2 linked regions of the Notamacropus eugenii genome follow. The protein of the gene in region 1 purifies or fractionates together with the protein of each later gene. This does not show direct contact. Links are inferred from orthologs where the notes say so. Each region holds a gene or a part of one and is shown on either strand. Other genes may lie near its edges. The genes, in order: SLC7A14 and GOLM1.

Region 1 (9,946 bases):
ACATGAGGGAGGTGGGCAAGGTGATCTCTAGTCTTCCTTGATATTAGTGCCTTCCCTCTGAGACTACTACCAGCTTTTCCTACCTATCTTTGTCTTGTTTGTACAGAGTTTGCTTGTTTCTATTTCAGTAAAACCACAGGTCAGTCCCCACCCCCACAATGAAATCTTCAGTATGGGTTTGTTCGTTTTCATTTTTGGTGATTTGCTTCTCCCTAGGAGACAAATGTAGCCTGAATATGCTGTTGTTCCAGCTCATCTAGAACGTTTTTTGGAACTGTGTTTCCAAAGTGACCCAAATGTTCATATCTTTTGACCAAATAATACCAATGCTAGTCTTTTACTCCAAAGTGTAAAGACAGAAGGAAAGGTGACTGTGTGTGTGTATCAAAACATTCAGAGCAGCATTATTTGTTGTAGCAATAAAGCAAACCCCAAAACAAAGCCCATTGATGGGGGAATGGAAGAACAAATTATGCTACATGAATGCTATGAATATTATGGCATTGTAAGAAATGAAAAATATGAAAAATTCAGAGAAACTTAAGAAGATTTGCATGAACTGATGCAAACAAAGCAAGTAGCTGCAAGAGAACAATTTTCATGACTACAGTGATGTAAAGAAAAAAACACACATTCTAATTAATGCAATGATAATCTTTCCTCCTGGGGACTAGTGAAGGTGAGCTACAGGTGCAGAATGACAACTATGCCCTTCAGACATGGACAACATGTTAATTCTTTGTCACACAGGTGAGTTTGGTTAGCTGGGGACAGCATTAGGAAATGAAAGTGATTTGGAAAATCATCAATAAAACATTGAGAAAATAAATGTTGAGTACAAACAGGAGCCAACTCATACAGTCTCACTGGAGATGATCATCAAATTTTCAGTGTGAGCATTCATATCTCAGAAATCAGCAAACACTACAAACCAGGGTTTGATTAAAATTTTTTTGTTATCTAGACTTTAGAAAGTGATGGAGAAAGTGTTACTAACATAGACTACGCTTAAAAGTGTGTGGTTCTCCTTCCTCCTGCTTTTCAGAGATCTGGTTGTTAAACATTTACCAGCACACCCCTGAATACAGGTAAAGCCCTGGGTAATTCAGTGTTTTGGTCAACTGTGCTCTTACTGTAAAAAGATCTACCATCCTTAGTTTTGATATCAGTCTTTAGGAAATGTTTCTGGAATCCCCTTTTTGAACAATCTTAAAGAACTTTGTTAATTTTTTTTCTTACTCTTGATAGCAGCAGAACCCTTGTCAATTCCAGATTCTGAAAGGCAGCTGAAAAACATCACTAGGACGTGAGCTTTGCTCTCTGGCTTCAGAGTTTGAGAAAAGCACAGGTGCTCTTAATTTGTCATTGCCCATTAACAAAAGGGACTTCAACAATGCTGACTAGGCACACATTGAAATGTGTTATTTATCCCCATTACTATGAAGAACTCTTAAAAAATTAGAGAAGCACAAGATTAATGGAGAAGCAGCCGAGAGTGGAAATGAGTATTTATAAAAGCCAAGTGAGAAAGGCTAGGCTCATTACCAGGCAGAATTCTTTGATATCTTGAAGTAGCAAAATACAGGTCTTATCTTTATCTTTACCTGGAACTCTTAAAATCAGAAATCTCTCTGCTTTCACAGTTCAAGAAATCAGGGTCAGAGATCTAGGACTGGAAGGGACCTCAGCCAACCCTGTTTTACAGATGATGAGCCTGAGCCTCTAAGAGGTGAAGAGAATTGTCTAAAGTCACACAGTCAGTAAGCATCAGAAGTAAGCATCCCGGTCTGATGACTCCAGAGCCAGTGCCCTTTCCACTGTGCCCCACTGCTACAAGCTGCTTTACTGACAGTTTTTCAATGGATAAAAACCAGTTGGCTTGATCCCATGCTTATACTTTATCCAAATATTCCATTGTGTATATGTGTGTGTATGAATATATATGTTTGTGTGTATATGTGTGTGTATGTATATGTATGAGACTATGTGAGTGTATGCATGTGAGTGTGTGAGAGAATGAGTGTGTAATATGAGTGTGTCTGTGTGAATGTGTGAATGTGTGTGTGTGTGTGCATGTGTGTATGTAGGGGGAGGAGCAGGGCAAAAAGGAGAAGATGGGAGGGAAGCTGGTTCTCTTGTTGCATAACAGAATTGTATCTGAGTGCCAGGTGTGGGTGCTGGGAGATTGGCACAGGTCCTGCTGAACTTGCTGTTTCCCACATCTTTCCTAAATTGTAGTCCCTGTATCAAAACATTAAGCCAACATTGAGTAGGAGCATCGAAGCCAATTTAGCCTCTGCGTCAAGCAAACCTCCCTAATGATGAGAGCTCTCTCAAGGGGGAATGGGCCACTCAGAGGGCATGGGTTTCCCCTTCCTGGAGATCTTTAAGCAAAAGTGAGGGCAGAGGTTTAAATCTTCATGACCACAGCTTAAAGAAAAACACCCACATTTGAAGTAAAGAATGAAACGATCCCTGCCTCCAGGAGCTCACTCTTTCTCCGGGCAGAACTGGTCTTGTGCTTCCAAGACCCAGAACTCTGGACTCCAGCAACATGGGACCACTTGTTGTGAAGCTGGATCGCTGCTCGTTCATATCCTTTGACCATTTGTCAATTCGGGAATGGCTCTTATTGCAAATTTGAAGCAATTCCTTCTATATACTGCAAATGAGACTTATATCAGAGAAATCTGAGTTTGGAACTAGGCATATTTTTTTTGTATAAAACTTTGGTTTGGTTTTTTTTTTTTTTAACCTGAGCATGTAGCAAAGTATCTGGCATGTAGTAGGTGCTTAATTAGTGCTTTTTAAATTTAATTTACATAGTAACTACTGAATAAATTCTTTTCATTTATTCATTCATTTATTCATTCATTCATTCATTCATTCATTCATTCATTCATTCATTTATTCAGTGAAGTGTCAGTTGGAATAGCTTTATTCTTTGCCATCTTATTTCTTAGCCCTGTCTACTCTGCTTCTGCTATCTCAACACCCTCAGCTCTGGGAGGGCAACTGAAAATGATGTACCAAAGTGATTCTCCTTGCCCTAACCTCCCAACTCTGCCTCTTCCCCAACATTGACCCCGAGACTGAGCTGCTCACCTGATAGGATAGAAGCCACCGCTGCGATGATAAAGGACACGATCACACCAGGTCCTGCCATTTCTTTTGCCACAAGCCCAGACACCACATACATGCCGGTGCCCACACAGCTGCCAACCCCAAGGGAGATGAGGTCTACAGTGGTGAGCACCTGGGCCAACTTGGTCCCATGAGATGTGGTGCCACCTGTGCTTTCCAGCATTGACTCCACAGGCTTGGTGCGAAGGATCCGAGAGTGCATGGCATACCAAGCAGCCCCCCACTGTACCCGCCGGGGGTCCAGAGAGGCAAACAAGCCACTCATTGTGACCAACAGGGATGGAGACAGATGCCAGCTGCTTGGAGAGATTGGAAGGCTCAGTCAATGGCTCAGGAGCACATCAGCTTCAAGGGAGGAGAGACTCTCCTTTCAGAAAAGATCCAGGGGGCCCCACAGCCACATTCTTTAGCCACGGCTTCCTCTTTTCCCTGAAGCTTAGAGTCCTGTGGGAAACCCTAGAAAGAAAAAGGACAAAAGAAAAGGATGAGTGAGATCATGTGGAAACAACATGTTGGGTCTGAAGAGCCAAGGCGTAGTGGAAGGAACAAGAGGCCAGGAGGACTGTGGTTTAGTCTCAGCTCAGCTGAGGGCCATAACTAGGATCTGGCCATTGGATCTCTGTTCTTGGGCACTGACATTCAGAAGGCCCTGGTGATATTTACATTCCTTTTTTTTTTTTTTATTTTTTTTTTTATTTTTTTTTTATTAAATTTATTTATTTAACTTTTAACATTCATTTTCACAAAATTTTGGGTTACAAATTTTCTCCCCTTTTATCCCCTCCCCCCCCAAACACCAAGCATTCTAATTGCCCCTATGACCAATCTGCTCTCTCTTCTATCATCCCTCTCTGCCCTTGTCTCCATCTTCTCTTTTGTCCTGTAGGGGCAGATAGCTTTCTATACCCCTTTACCTGTTTTTCTTATTTCCTATTGGCAAGAACATTACTCGACAGTTGATCCTAACACTTTGAGTTCCACCTTCTTTACCTCCCTCCCTCTCCACCCCTTCCCTTTGGAAGGCAAGCAATTCAATATAGGCCAAATCTGTGTAGTTTTGCAAATGACTTCCATAATAGTTGTGCTGTATAGGACTAACTATATTTCCCTCCAACCTATCCTGTCCCCCATTACTTCTATTCTCTTTTGATCCTATCCCTCCCCATGAGTGTCGACCTCGAATTGCACTCTCCTCCTCATGCCCTCCCTTCTATCATCCCCCCCACCCTGCTTGTCCCCTTATCCCCCACTTTCCTGTATTGTGAGATAGGTTTTCCTACCAAAATGAGTGTGCACTTTATTCTTTTCTTTAGTGGAATGTGATGAGAGTAGACTTCATGTTTTTCTCTCACCTCCCCTCTTTATCCCTCCACTAATGAGTCTTTTGATTGCCTCTTTTATGAGAGATAATTTGCCCCATTCAATTTCTCCCTTTCTCTTCCCAATATATTTCTCTCTCACTGCTTGATTTCATTTTGTTTTAAAGATATGATCCCATCCTATTCAATTCACTCTGTGCACTCTGTCTCTGTGTATGTGAGCGTGTGTGCATGTGTAATCCCACCCAGTACCCAGATACTGAAATGTTTCAAGAGTTACAAATATTGTCTTTCCATGTAGGAATGTAAACAGTTCAGCTTTAGTAAGTCCCTTATGACCTCACTTTGCTGTTCACCTTTTCATGGTTCTCTTTATTCTTGTGTTTGAAAGTCAAATTTTCTTTTCAGCTCTGGTCTTTTCATCAAGAATACTTGAAAATCCTCTATTTCATTGAAAGACCATTTTTTCCCCTGAAGTATTTTAGTCAGTTTTGCTGGGTAGGTGATTCTTGGTTTTAGTCCTAGTTCCTTTGACTTCTGGAATATACTGTTCCATGCCCTTCGATCCCTTAATGTAGAGGCTGCTAGATCTTGTGTTATCCTGATTGTATTTCCACAATACTTGAATTGTTTCTTTCTAGCTGCCTGCAGTATTTTCTCCTTGACCTGGGAACTCTGGAATTTGGCCACAATGTTCCTAGGAGTTTCTCTTTTTGGATCTCTTTCAGGCGGTGTTCTGTGGATTCCTTGAATATTTACTTTGCCCTCTGGTTCTAGAATCTCAGGGCAGTTTTCCTTGATAATTTCATGAAAGATGATGTCTAGGCTCTTCTTTTGATCATGGCTTTCAGGTAGTCCCATAATTTTTAAATTGTCTCTCCTGGATCTATTTTCCAGGTCTGTTGTTTTTCCAATGAGATATTTCACATTATCTTCCATTTTTCCATTCTTCTCTCTTTGTTCTGTGATTTCTTGGTTTTGCATAAAGTCATTAGCCTCCATCTGTGCCATTCTAATTTTGAAAGAACTATTTTCTTCAGTGAGCTTTTGAATCTCCTTTTCCATGTGGCTAATTCTGCTTTTGAAAGCATTCTTCTCCTCATTGGCTTTTTGAACCTCTTTTGCCAATTGAGTTAGGCTAGTTTTCAAGGTGTTAATTTCTTCAACATTTTTTTGGGTCTCCCTTAGCAGGGAGCTGATCTGCTGTTCATGCTTTGACTTCATGTCTCTCATTTCTCTTCCCAGCTTTTCCTCCACCTCTCTAACTTGATTTTCAAAATTCTTTTTGAGCTCTTCCATGGCCTGAGCCCATTGGGTGGGCTGGGACACAGAAGCCTTGATTTCTGTGTCTTTGCCTGATGGTAAGCATTGTTCTTCCTCATCAGAAAGGAAGGGAGGAAATGCCTGTTCGCCAAGAAAGTAACCTTCTATAGTCTTATTTCTTTTCCCTTTTCTGGGCATTTTCCCAGCCAGCGACTTGACCTCTGAATATTTTCCTCACACCCACCTCACCTCCTGATCCTCCCAGCCCGTGTTTGTGGTCTGAGATTCAAATGCTGCTTCCAGCCTCAGGGCTTTGGGCGGGGGCAGGGCTGCTATTCAGTATGAGATTATGATCTGGTGCTGAGATCGGGGCAGGGCTGCCTCTCAGGCTCAGTTCCCTCAGGGGGTTTATGCGCAGACCTTCCGCAATGGATTCAGGCTCCCGCCCGCTTGGGGAGCCCCTGTCTGCAGCCGCCTCTCAGCTTCTACCTCCCGGGGGGGGGGCCTGAATTATGGGGGCACCCCACTCCCCTCTCGACCCGCCAAAGAGACTCTCTCACCCACCCCTGTCACCTGTGGGTGGAGGGACTTGTGCGGCCGCTGGAGATCCCGTCCCTGAAGCCTGCTCGGATCTGTTTCTCTCGGTGCCGCAGCCGTGGCCGCAGCAGGTCTGGGCTGGGCTTTGTGTCTGCAGCGCGATGGACCTTTTGCGAGAGGTTTGCAGATCCCTCTGTGGGTGGAGGGACCCGCGTGGCCGCTGGAGATCCTATCTGTGAAGCCTGCTCGGATCTTTTCCTCTCGGTGCCGCGGCAGGGCTGCACTCAGCTCCCAGTCCCGGCGCCCAGTCCGCAGCGCGAAGGACCCCCCCGCGAGAGGTTTGCAGGTCTCTCTGGAACAGAAATCTCCCTCGCTCCAATGTTCCGTGGCCTCTGGGTGCGGAATTCGCCGTGAGTTACTTCCCTGTAGCCGTTCTATGGGTTGTGGGTTCAGAGCTATGTGTATGTGCGTCTTTCTACTCCGCCATCTTGGCTCCACTCGATATTTACATTCCTTTAACCATATAGAAACAAACGAGCTTAGCAAGTAGTTATGGAGAATAATTAACGTTACAGATGGATTAAAAAAATAAATATATAGGTATGTATGTGCATGTACTAAACTTAACGAGGCAATTAACAAAGTTGCTCCGTTTGTATCCCTCCTGCATCTTTTAATTGCTTTTCAAATAAAGGAAAAGTTTTATTCATATCTTTTTTTTCCTGTTTATCACTCCCCTAACTCATCTTCTTCTATCCCTTCAGCAAAAGCCTTGCTTTGTAACAAATGTGCATAATCAAATCAGACAAATGGGCAGAAATAATAATTGGCTAAAATAGGAAATTAGAAGATGGCATTCCTCTCTCTCCAGTGCAGTCTTCCCTGTCTCCTTACCTTGCTATCACTCACTGCTATCAGCTGGTATCATTCCCTGGGATCAACTTCTCTAGCCGTAACCTCACGGGGTCTCAGGATCTCTGCCCACAGGGGTCAGCATCCTGGGGTTTCTGTTTCTCCTCCATGAGTGGGGTCCCAAGGTCTCTCTTCCCAGGGATCCTCACTTCCAGTGATCTTCCCCAATTCCTTCAATTGTGTGTCTTTATTTGATGGGATATTTTGTGTTCCTTGCCTAGGGTGTCAGTGACAGCTAAGATTCAGCCACTAAGTTCTTATGGTCAAATCATCAGTTCTCTCATCTGTAAAATGGGTATAATAACATTTAGTCTACCTGTCCTCCAGAACTGTGAGTTATTGTACCTGGAGGGAGTCTGGGTCTTACTCATCTTTTGGGCTATCCTTAGCTTACACAGGATAAATCTTATATGTGTGAAATGACTTTCCTATCTAAAATCCCTCACCTTCACCCTGAACTTTCAATTTAGACTTCAGCTGTCTGAAACACCCAAGACATTCTAAGACTCAGTGAGATGAAAGAACACCAGTTCATGGCTCTTCTACCTCTTAGCTGTGAGATCTTGGGCAAGTCAGTTACATCTCTGGGCCTTGGTTTCCTCAGCTTCCTCAATTCTCAAAGAAAGAACTGAATGAAATGAATTCTAAGGTCTCTTTCAGCTCTAGAGTACTCTTTACCTCTTGAAATTACCCTGTTGTATATGACTTCTATTCACTGATTTGTTAGTTAGTCAGTCAATAAGCATTTATTAAGCACTAACTGTGTGCTGGTCACTGTGCTAAACACAGAATCGATTGGAGACAATCCACATAGGAAAGGGGCCAGCATTAAAAGGGAAGACTTCTCAGAGGAAGTGGAATTTAGCTGGGACTTCGAGGAAGTCATGGAAACAGGAGGTGGGGATGAGGATGCAGAGCATTCCAGGAATGTTGAACAGCCAGTGAAAACAGCTGGAGTGTTGGGAGATGGAATGTCTTGTTCTAGAAATAGCAAGGTCAGTGTCACTAGACAGGGGCAGGGGAGTAAGGAATAAGAAAACTGGAAAGGAGGAGGGAAGGCCAGGTTGTGAAGGCTCTGAATGCCAGACAGAATTTTGTATCTGATGCTGGAGGTTTGAAGGAATCACTAGAAATGGGGGAGGAGGGGAAAATCAATAAAGCCAGCTTTGTACTTCCCAAAAGTAATTTCACAACTGAGAGACAGATGAATAGAATATAAACTCCCTGAGGGCAGGGGCTGCTTAATTTTCATTGTCTGCAGACTATAATAGAGTGTCTTTTATATAACAGGCAAGAAATAAATTCTTACGAACTGAATTTAATAAATAGCATGATTAGTTTCTTGGAACATGGGAGCATTATAAATGTACCTATTTATTAGAAATTCATCCAGATTAGAATCAAGCATCAATTCTAGGTATATGACTGATATGATCAAGGCTTTTTCCTTTGAAATATTTTTTTAAACCAGAACTGTGATTTCAAACATGTACAAAGTGCCTGAAGGTGAGGAATTTCCTCAGACAATTCAGATGGGCATCTGTTCCGAATCTTACAATCTTAGGGTGGTGCCTGGGAGCACTAACTGGTTAAGTGACTTATCCAGCGTCACACAGCTAATTTGTGTCAGTTGAAGGACTTGAATCCAGGTCTTTCCAAGGACCCCTTTCTCTATCCCTTATGCTAATATGCTTCTCTTTCGGTAAGCCCCTTTGGGAGTGGTTTTGCCACTGACACTATTAGTGGTTTTGCTACTAACACTATTAATTCAAACTACTTAGCACTTGGTACAATGATTATCAGCTTCCAGAGTATTTGAAAACACTAATTCATTAACAGAGTCAGGGGAAATGTGGCAGTTTGGTTCACAGGGGAGTAGTGTCAGTTTACTTGGTTTCACATCTGAGATATGTTGGAATGTTAGAGCCTTCACCTTTATGGTGTATTTCTTGTTTGAATGATACCTCAATGGCACCACAAATATCTGGGAAAAAAACCTTAACTTTCAGACTTATATCCTGATTAGAGAAATAAGGTGGTAGAATAAAAAGAGACCCCTTTACCTAGTATAGGGAGAAACTTGAGAACAGAAAACACTGGAGAGGAGGTATAATGGGATGAGGAGGAAGCATCAGTTGACAGTCTATCTTTATGACTATCTGCCAATACGCTTTTTCTCATAGGTACTTATGAAATACACAGAATATACATAGCCATGCTGATTTATAAGCAGTCAGTCACTGACCTTGGAGATATTAATTGTCCATTTAACAATGAAACAGTTTATTTTGAGATAGCATAGTTCATATCAAGAAAGAGAAAATAGTGTCTTTTATCTGTTACCCCAAGATCAAAAAAGATAATATGTAAATGATAATAATAATTATTATTATGATAGGATCTAGTTTTTACTTCTTGATTCCTCTTCAAATTTTCCTGAATCTCTAACTTGTATGGTATTATTTTCTTTGGAAATACTGTCTCCCCCTCTCCCCCAAAACCTCCTTTTCCATTGATTTGAAGTTCCTTGCGAGCAGAGCTCAGATAATATTCCTAACAACTAGAATAATACTTGGTAAGTAATATTAATTACTAGGACAAAAATTAAAATGAATACTTGCTGGAAATCAAATTTATGTACTATTGGGATAAGGACTCCACAGTAACTGAAAACTGGAAAGAAGTTTGGCAGAAACAAGGTTTAGACCAGCATCTTATATTACCTATCACAATAAACTCCAAATGGACACACGTCTTAAATGTAAAAGGTC
Region 2 (9,763 bases), on another chromosome or scaffold:
TATAGATGAGGAAAATGAGGCAAACGGGGTTAAGTGACTTGCCCAGGATCATACAGCTATTAACTGTCTGATTTGAACTTAAGAAGATGAGTCTTCCTCACTCCTGGCCCATAGCTCTATCCACTGCAACATCCCTCATCACAAATACAGACCTCAAAAATAAGCTTGAAAATTCAACAACCAATCTGAATTGTAACCAGACCACTGTTATAAACATAATTGTTGCTCACAGTCACCGAAGCCCAATACTTAACTATAAACATTAAAGAATAGTAATAGATAGCAATGATTAATCACAATCTCCAAGCTACATGTAACAAAAACTTTTCAAAACGCATAGACTTAGCAGAAGAAATCAAAATCCTATAAAAAAAAAAGCATCTTAGAGGTATATATAATTCTTGTGATATTGTCTCCTCTTGGATTTGTCCCAAAGATGCTTTCCATGAGCCTTCGGAAGGTGAGTTTATGTCCTAATACTTTCATTCAATTATAAAAAGTCATTATTGTATCTATCTGTTCAACAGTCTACAGGCCATTAACTACAAAAGAATAATATAACAGCCTGTCCCAGAACCATTTTTATTTGAACTCAGTCAAAGAATGAGATGAATAAAAATAACATATATTCCTTTATAAATCAACAAATGCTGCAAAGACTAATCTCAAAACATTCTTGAGAATTCAGCAAAATAAACTATTAGAACCAAAGCGTCATCACAGAATCAACCAAGTATAACAGTGACCCATAAAAAAATTAAAAACATTTAAATAGATATTAGCATGCTAAATATTCATAACCTCGAGACTATGCAGAATGAAAGACTGATGATGAAGCATGCTACACACTGTCAGACTGAAAGATGACAGACCCAAGATGCAGACACATACGTTTTCAGACAAGGCCAATGTAGAGCGTTATTTTGTCAACTTGCCATATTTTTTACAAGGGCTTTGTTTTTCTTTTTCTTTTCCAGAGAGAAGAGAGGCAGTAGGGAAGGAAGGAAAGATGGGAAGAAGAGAGAGGAGAGAGAAGAAGGGTAGAGGACTGAAGCATCTACTTTTAAATGCACAGAACAGAAGACCAGGAAGAATCAGACACATAGGATAGCTCTGAAAGTCACATATCAAACTTCTTGCATATTTGAAGAAAAGAGTCCTTTTCTTCCCTTATATTATGTCTATGGAAATGCCATTTTATTTGGAGTTTAAGTTTGGAATTTTTAAAATACGATTTAAAAAAAAAATATGTAGAACGAAAAGATCTCAAATTATAGAGGCTCAACAGAAAAAAAATCAAAACCATATGTGCACAAGATGAAGCATATTTCATCCCTATGATCTTGTCTGCTACTGGAATTGCCCCAAAGATACTTTCAGTAAACCTACAAAGATGAACTTACCTGCCAACACTTTTGTTCAGTCACAGAAAGCAATCGTTCTATCTACCTCTGAAGTCATGAAACATTAAACAAACAAAAGGAGTCTGTACAATAGTAACCTGTTATAGAATCATTTCCATCTGAATTCCACTGCATATAAAAGAATGAAAAAAATAATAAAAATTATAACACCTAACATTTATATCATGCTATCAAAGGACAACTCATTTTATTCTCACACAAGGCTCAAGGGTGTTCTTCTATTTTTATCCCAGTCTTACAGATAAAGAAACAAAATGAGAATGCAAATAAAGCCTTTGCTTTGCAAAACTTAAATGTCTACATCCCTTATAATATTATGGTAACAATCCTTCCCTACCTATTTTTTTTTTGCCCTCTAAACAATCTCTTTCATTCTTGTAAGTAACATGTAGTCAGCCTAGTAAGGGCCTGATACTCTTGGCAGAAATTCAAAATTGTTTTAAATTCCAGTTTCTGCTTCTAAACCATGATATCCCATCATTCAAATTATCCCTTTAACAAATTAATAGTTATAGTCTAGAAATAAACTATTCTCCTCTCATAAGGAATTACCTTATATAAAAGTCACTTTAAAAGATGAGGGAGAGGAGCATCAGTGGTGACTGTGAAAGAATCAAAAGGATAGGCATTACATGGGTATATCAACAGTGGCAGTCAGTCTGGAAAAATCTGGAAACATGTTGTGGCTGTTGAGTCATGCATAACATTCCATGACCCCATTTAGGGTTTCTTTGACAAAGATGTGGAGTGATTTGCCATTTCCTTTTCCAGTTCATTTTACAGAGGAAGAAACTGAAGCAAAAACGGTTCAGTGACTTGCCCAGGGTCACACAGTTAGTGTCTGAGGCCAGATCTGAACTTAGGAAAATGCGTCTTCTTCTTCACTCCAGGCTCCACTCCACTCTGCACCACACACTGCCAAGGCTTAAATTGGTACCCACCTGATATCCTTAAACTAAGTAATACAAGACAACTCCAAATGACAGCTGCTGAATGTTCTCCTGGATAAATGGCCCTTTCAGGGATTCGCCCACTCCCTCTTCAATTTTCCTTAGGTATTACTTTAACTTAGAGCTGGAAGCCCTCCCCCCCACCGAACACCCAACAGGGGTAAGTAAAGCCACAGAAAGTTCCGCTCTCCCAAACTGAAAAAGGTACAGTCTTATGAAAATGGGTTGTTTTCAGCTTCCCAATATCACAAAGACAATTCCATCAGTAATGTTAAAAAAGGCAGTGAAAAACGATTTGTAAAACCCTTGCTTCCATCCATGTCGGTCAATGATAACACTGGTACTTTAAGACGCATTCCAGAAAAGGAAAGTGCGGTTCGAGGTGGGTTTGCACTTGAGCAGCGCTAAAGTTTTGCCTCGCCCCAGCACCATTAATCGTGCCCTCCAGACAGCGTCATCCAGCCGGTTTCCTCTCTTTCAGGTTTCACGAAATTAGCTTAAGGGAGATCTCGGAGGCAGACGGGACGCCGAGGCAGACCAGCAGCCAGCAAGGTGCCCGCGGACCGCAGGAAGCCCAGGGTCATCTCCCCCCCCCCCGCCCCCGCCATCACCATCACAGACACCCTCTCCCCCAAGGGCACCTGCCCCAAATCAGCGCCTACCCTGGGCTAACGTAGGAAAATACAATAAAGACAGCCAGGCTAAGGGACGCAGGAAGAGGGAAAGAACTCCTTCTTCTCCCACGCTCCGTATCAGCTGAGCAAATATCCGTTCACAACGAGAGCAGGAACTTCATTTTCCGGGGATGGGGAGGGATTTTATTTTTTGACATTAACATTCATGACAGAACCCAAGGAAAAAAGAATCAGTAAACCACAAGCATGCTAATGAGGAACCCAGGGGGGGCGGGGGGGGAGATTCACCTCCACTGGAGCAGAGGAGCTTTGGAAAGAATGCCAGACTCCTCCCGGAGGGGAAGAAGGGCAAGAGGATCCAGGACTGGCAGGGGAGGAGGGGCACCTTCTCTCCAGCGATAGGAAACTGATGTCCGGTCTAACGTGGAAGTGAAGGCTACCCCCACCATAAAACCCAGGCACGGACCCGTAACTCAACTGAAAATAAAACAAAGCAGAACACCAACAACACGCCAGTAAGGGACAGAAATACATGGGGAGGGGATTTCGGGGGGGGGGGGCTCCCTAAGGTCTAAGTTACTCCAGCAGAGGAAAGAGAAAGGAAGAGAAGGAAAGATGGGGAAGGGGGTGGGGGTGGAGATGAGCAAAGGAAGGAGGGAAGGACAGAGGGCGCCCAGAAAGCGGGCTGGTCCAACTCCTCGGACTCACCTTCTCCGCTCCGGGATCGGGTGGCTCGTGGCTCCCCGGGCCCTCTCCCTACCGGGCTGGAGCTCTGCGGGCCTCCGCCACTGGACCTTCCCCGCCCCCGGCTTCGCGCCCGCTCCGATCTCCGGGCAGCCTTCCTCCTCCTCCTCCTCCTCTACGCCCTCGCCTAGTGCCCGGAGCCGAGCAGCCACCCCTCCTCCGTCCGTCCGTCCACCCCGGAGGGAGCCTGCGCCCTTTGACTCCTCCAACCCCAGCCCAGTCGCGGCCGCCCGAAGCAAAATCCCCGCCCTTCGGGGCAGAGCCGCGCAGCTGGCCGGACGCGTCTGCTGCCGGGAGAGGGAAAGGTGGAGCGTGGAGAAAGGGGCTGCCAAGGCTCTGCGCCCCGGCCGCGATCGCCAGCTAACGGGGCTGGGCGAGGTGGAGGGGGAAGAGGCGGGAAGCTGGCACCGAGGGGCCCTGGAGGCAGCCAGGAGCCAGCGCGTGCCCCGCGGCTGCTGCGGCCCCCTTCCTCCCTCGCGCTAGCTCGGTCGCCCCTCTGCTGCCCCTCCTCCGGAAAAACAAGTTTCTCACCCACCCGTCCAGTGCCAAGCGGAGCCCCTCCCTTCCTCCCCTCGGTCCCAGCCGCCCCACCTCCACCTCTAGATCCAGCGGAATCTGACTGCACCTAGTCCTTAAGAATTTGATTGCATCACCTTCGCTGCCAGTGCAGCAAAATTTGGGTAAAAAGGGAGAGGAAGAGTGGAGCGATGGTCAGTGACCTTGGTCCTGCGGAAGGGGTCCCTACGTTACAGACTACTTTACCTTAGGAAGGAAAAAAGTCCCGAGAGAAGGGGGTGGGGGGAGGTTTGCCCACTGGAGCATTCTTACACCCATAGAGATGTCTCCCCTAAGGCATTTCCAGTTGGTGTGAATTTCGCACTGTTGTTTTCTCTCAAGCTGTTAGGCTAAGCTGTATGTTCTGGAAATGGCACATTGCCATCCAGCCTTTGCATTACATGGTCCTTTCAAATGAAAGAGGTGCCCGTAGCCTCCGTAAGCTTGACCTGGACTTTGAAGGCCTTGTCTGTGCCTATTTAGTTGGGATTTCAAAAAGCCCTGTTGGGGAAAATAAAAATACCTCCTCTACCTGCCTCTTGATGCCTGACATTCTTTTAACTAAGGACAAAATCGTGTTCCAAAATTAGAGATAAGGCTTAACATACAGATGTCCTTAGGAAAAGTAACTCAAAGTGATTCAGGCTAAATGAAATGCCTGATCATCAAATCAGTCCCAGAGAACAGGTTTTGATGGGAGGCTGCCTCAAAGCAGAAACAAAAGGGAAAGGGACAGAAGAAATACCTTTGGAACTGCAAAAATGAACTTTGACTAGTCACAGATTTGCCCGGGTCTTATGCCTGATGCTTTCCTCTCTAGCATATCACAGTCTTTGATGTCTTTGATTTTAGAACAGTTATTTAAAATGGAAAAATCCTGAATGGCAGCACTTGGTTTAAGAGAATTCTTTTAAAAATATTTAAATCCTAGAACAATAGACTTTCCGAATTGGAAGAGACTAAAGGTTATGTAGTTTATCCTGAATCATCCATCACAATCCTCCCACCACCCACCTCCATTTCCAGCTAATGGATTCAGTTTGAGGAAACTGGGAGAATCTCAGTTCACTTTAGGATTTGTTTCTATGGCCCTGGAATCTATCTATATTAAAGACATAAATCTTCACCCTTAGGGGAAGCAGTAAGAGTAGCTTGGCCAGTGCTTTTTTTTTTTTTTTTAAGAGCGTTGAAGGATCAGACAAGGATACTTTGCGTAATGTAGCCCAGTTGCTGTAAAGAAAGATGGGAGATGGAAAGGAATTAAGAGAGCAGGCTAGTCCCCTTAACCCCAAGAGCTAATGGGAAGAGAGGGGGCTGGGGCTAGGAAGCACAGCCAGTAACTGGTAGAAAGAGACAACTGAGACAGTTATCAAGAGCCTACCCAGAAGTGGAAAAACATTCATTTAAATTGTCTAAAGATTTGTTCCTCAGACCATACTAATTATGTGGAGGATGAGGCCATGGAGCTCCAGAGTGGGTTGGTGTACATCCATATAAATACAAACCACTTAAGGTTTCAAAAGACTGAAGGGAATGTGGCCTGCAGGCTAGAAAGGGCTTAAACACTATGCTAACTATCTGAGAGCTGGTCCCCTGGAGATAAAATAATGAGCACCATCTGCTGGAAAGACCTGAGTTAGGGAGAAGGTAAGGAGGATTCAGATTAGAGGAGGGCTACGTGGTACAGAAGGACTTTAGGAGGGAGTACCATTGTGAGTGCTTATGAGAAGAACTGGTTAACTACCTTCCATATTTTTTTTACCTTTGGTAAAATTCCAGATACTGTAGATCCTAGATTGAACTTGAGTGGGAGCAAAGTGCCAAGAAAGTGAGAAGTTTCCAGAGTATACTTGGGTACTTTATTAGAGGAGGAAGCCCTTGGCTTACACGTGTACACAAATCTCCAGTCCAGACAGTGCTTTGTTTGTTTTTTAATAAGTTTTTACCTATTTTTCTATTTCTTACATTATCGTAGTATTCCATATATCGCTCTCCTCCTCCTCCTAGAAAGTCATCCCAAATGACAAATATTTGGGGGGAAAGGGTAGTCAGTACGACTGATCAATACATTGAAAAAGTCTAAAAACACCTGTGAATCTCCTACCTTCATGAAGGGGTATATTGGGGATATCTTGTCGTTCTTCTTCTTCTGAGTCTTGCTTGATCTTTTTTATTTTGTTACATTTATTTTTGAGCTTTTCATGTGTCATTCTTTCCATTTACATTATTATAGTTTCCTTATATATTGTTTTCTTGGCTCTGCTTATCACTCTGTAAATCTTTAAATTCATTTCTGTATTTATCATATGCATCATTTCTTATAGCACAATTCCATTACATTCATGTACCACAATTTGTTTAGCTGTTACCCAATTGATAGGCATCTGCTTTGTTTATAATTCTTAGATATCACAAAAAGTGCTGCTATAAATATTTTGGAGTATATGGGGACTTTTTTCCTTATTGATAGCTTCCTTAATGTATAAATCCAATAATGGAGTCTCTGGTTCAAATGTATGGACATTTTTGGTCACTTTACTTGCATGATTCCCAAATTGCTTTCCAAAATGATTGTACTATTTCATAGCTCCACCAACAATGTATTGGCCTACCTATCTTTCTACAACCCCTCCAATATTTACTATTTTTTGTCAGTTTTGCCAATTTGCCAGGTGTGAGGTGAAACCTTGAAGTTGTTTTGATTTGCTTTTCTCTTTTTATTAGTGTTTTGAAGCATTTTTCCCGTGGTTGAGAACACTTTGCAGTTCTTTTGAGAACTGTTTGTTCATAACTTTTAACCATTTATATATTGTGTAATGGCTATTACACATAGATATAGATATAGTTATCATGATACCAAACTCTGATCAGAGAAACTTGATACAAAGAATGTTTTTTTCCCATTTGACCATTTCCTTTCTCATTCTAGATACATTAATGTTGTCTGTGCTGAAACTTTTCAGTTTCAAGTTCCCTCTTCTGCTGGAAACACGGTAGTATGTTTGTTTATGACTTTCATCTTTTTTTGAGGTGACCCAGTTCTCACTGTCTCTCTTCCACTCTCCCCTGATCCCCTCTTCTCAATTAATACCCCTTTCTCTTTTTTAGGATTTTGTTAATTCCCTTTTCTCTCCTGCTTTTTTTCTGGTTATATATTTCTTCTTTTTTCTTCTGTTAACCAAATAGATTTCCCCTTCCTCTTCTCCTCTTCAGCTAGTCCTGTTCCTACAGTTTTGAAATCCAGGTTTTTTGCACCACTTTTCAAAAACAGCTTCTCTTGCTCTCTTCATCATTTATCTTCTCTTTCTGTTTCATAGGTTCCCAAAGTAGTCAATCAATGCTCTAAATGTGTGCCCCCTAGGAGGCACTAGAATGATCTAGGGGGGTACAATTGAGGGGCATTAAATACAAATAAGGGGCAGTAAAAGCACAAAGAAAGAACAGAAAATAAGAAAATTTTGAAAAACCATTCATATATATTTCATCTGTTATGTAAGAGTTAAACTAGTAGTGATTTCATTATTTTCCAAATAAACATATAAAATGCAGATTATAACTGCTTAGTGGTCAAGTCTACTGACAGGTCTTAACAAGCAAGTGTTGGCAGGGAAGCATATTGCACATTGTCAGGAGGTCCAGCACGATGGGCAGAAATATGTGCTTGTAATAGCTTGTTTACAATACAATACTACATATTGTATCATCAAAATTTCAATGCAGGAAAAAAAGCCTAAAAATTTATAATGAGTTATTAAATTTAAGATGGATCATTTTTTTTTAATTTATATTTATTTGAAAGGATGCAAATTAAAAAAAACATTAATGGATCAAATAAAGTAGATTGGGGGTGCACTGAATTTTTTTTAAAAGGGAGCAGTAGGTCAAATAAATTGGGGAACCTCTGCTCTGAACCCTCATTTTCTGATTCATGTCTCCTAAAATTATCTGGTTTCTCTCTTTGTATTCTTCATGTAATAAAAACTTCCAAGGGATCCATTCTAGGCTCTCCCCTCTGTATGCTTTCTGCCATTGTTTTGTAGGGTTTGCTTCATGAATTCCCCTCTTCTGTTGTGCCATTTCCCACTACGTCCCTGATTATGCTGCCCACCCATCACCCACTCAAAGAGAGTATACTCTCTCTTGTTGACCTTTTTTTTTTTTCTATCTTTGCCTAGAAATATCCTCCCCGTGTCCAGGCTTCCCTACTCTTCCAGTGTCAGGTGCCCCTAGGAATTCCAAGAAGACTTTCTGAGGACCAAATCCCCCATCCAGTGTGAAGTGCCCATTTCCCTTTACCAATCATTTTTCTTCACCCATTAGAGCATTCATCAGTGGAACAACCTCCCACCTCCAAAGTAAGGCCTCTTTCCTTTCTTTCCCCTTTTTGAGCTTTCTACCTTCCTCTTCACCTACTCCCTGTTAACCTCCTCTTTTTGAGATCACAGAGTTCATCTTCCCCTCACTGCTAACCCTTGATTTGCCCCCTGCCAATCCCTCACTCCTCTCTATCCTTCCCCATTCTCCCTTATATGTACCCTCTCATGTTGTAATGTAGTCCCAGAAAAGAAGCTTTCACTTGTAGCAGGGTGTCACCAGGTCCTGTCCAGACCACCCCCTGTTCATCTCTTCATTCTTCAGTCTCCCAGATTCTTGCCCTCTCCCCTATTTCTTCAAGTACACTTAGAAAGAAGGCTGATCTCTCTGCTGTCACTACTGTGACAACACTGCTGTCTTTGCCTGCTTCACTTATTCACTCCTCTGGTATTTCTGTTGTTTGGGGTGTGTGAGAGGCAAGTAATCTCTTCAGTTCTGATTTTCTTTCTTTTCTTTTTTAAAAATATTTTATTCCTCCCCCCAATTGCATGTAAAGACAATTTTTGACATTCATTTTTTTTTTTAGTTGTTTCAAATTTTCTCCCTTCCTCACCTCCCAAGGGAAGACTCTGGTTTTCTTTCTAAAAATATTTCAAATTCTTCCTCATTATTGAACATCCATTTTTTTGTCTTGCTTTCTGGAAGACGTTTAGCCCAGGGCCCCCGTGATGTAAGATAGGTGTCAAACATGACACTGCCCTTTGCAGCTAGCAACACTCCCATTTGCAGCAGAAGCAGATTAAAAGGTTAAAACAGAATTGGGAAATATTTACATAATAAATAAAAATACAATGAATCATAGATAACATTACATTTTAAAACTAAGTCAATATGTTGCCAGTAGAGATCCTTATGTACAGTCCACGTTTCTATTTACTGATCCAAGGCAAAATGAGTAGAGATCCTTATGTACAGTCCATGTTTCTATTTACTGATCCAAGGCAAAATGAGTAGAGATCCTTATGTACAGTCCACGTTTCTATTTACTGATCCAAGGCAAAATGAGTGCTCTCCTGAGTCTAGTATTAATATTCTGGTTTCATCACAGGTCCCATTATTCATAAAGTAGGTTTAGTGGAGA

Evidence for each region.
Region 2: the proteins of SLC7A14 (region 1) and GOLM1 purify together in Homo sapiens (co-immunoprecipitation; 3 studies listed by BioGRID and IntAct, with this or other methods). This does not show direct contact. The link is inferred for Notamacropus eugenii from reciprocal best matches to the Homo sapiens genes SLC7A14 and GOLM1.

Annotation. Positions count from the first base shown.
Region 1 is NC_092877.1:353,606,269-353,616,214, reverse strand, and holds the start of SLC7A14 (solute carrier family 7 member 14), read right to left. Parts: upstream 3,587-9,946; 5' UTR 3,410-3,586; coding exon 3,106-3,409; intron 1-3,105. UniProt on the Homo sapiens protein: Imports 4-aminobutanoate (GABA) into lysosomes. May act as a GABA sensor that regulates mTORC2-dependent INS signaling and gluconeogenesis. The transport mechanism and substrate selectivity remain to be elucidated.
Region 2 is NC_092872.1:76,912,081-76,921,843, forward strand, and holds the start of GOLM1 (Golgi membrane protein 1), read right to left. Parts: upstream 4,402-9,763; 5' UTR 3,718-4,401; intron 1-3,717.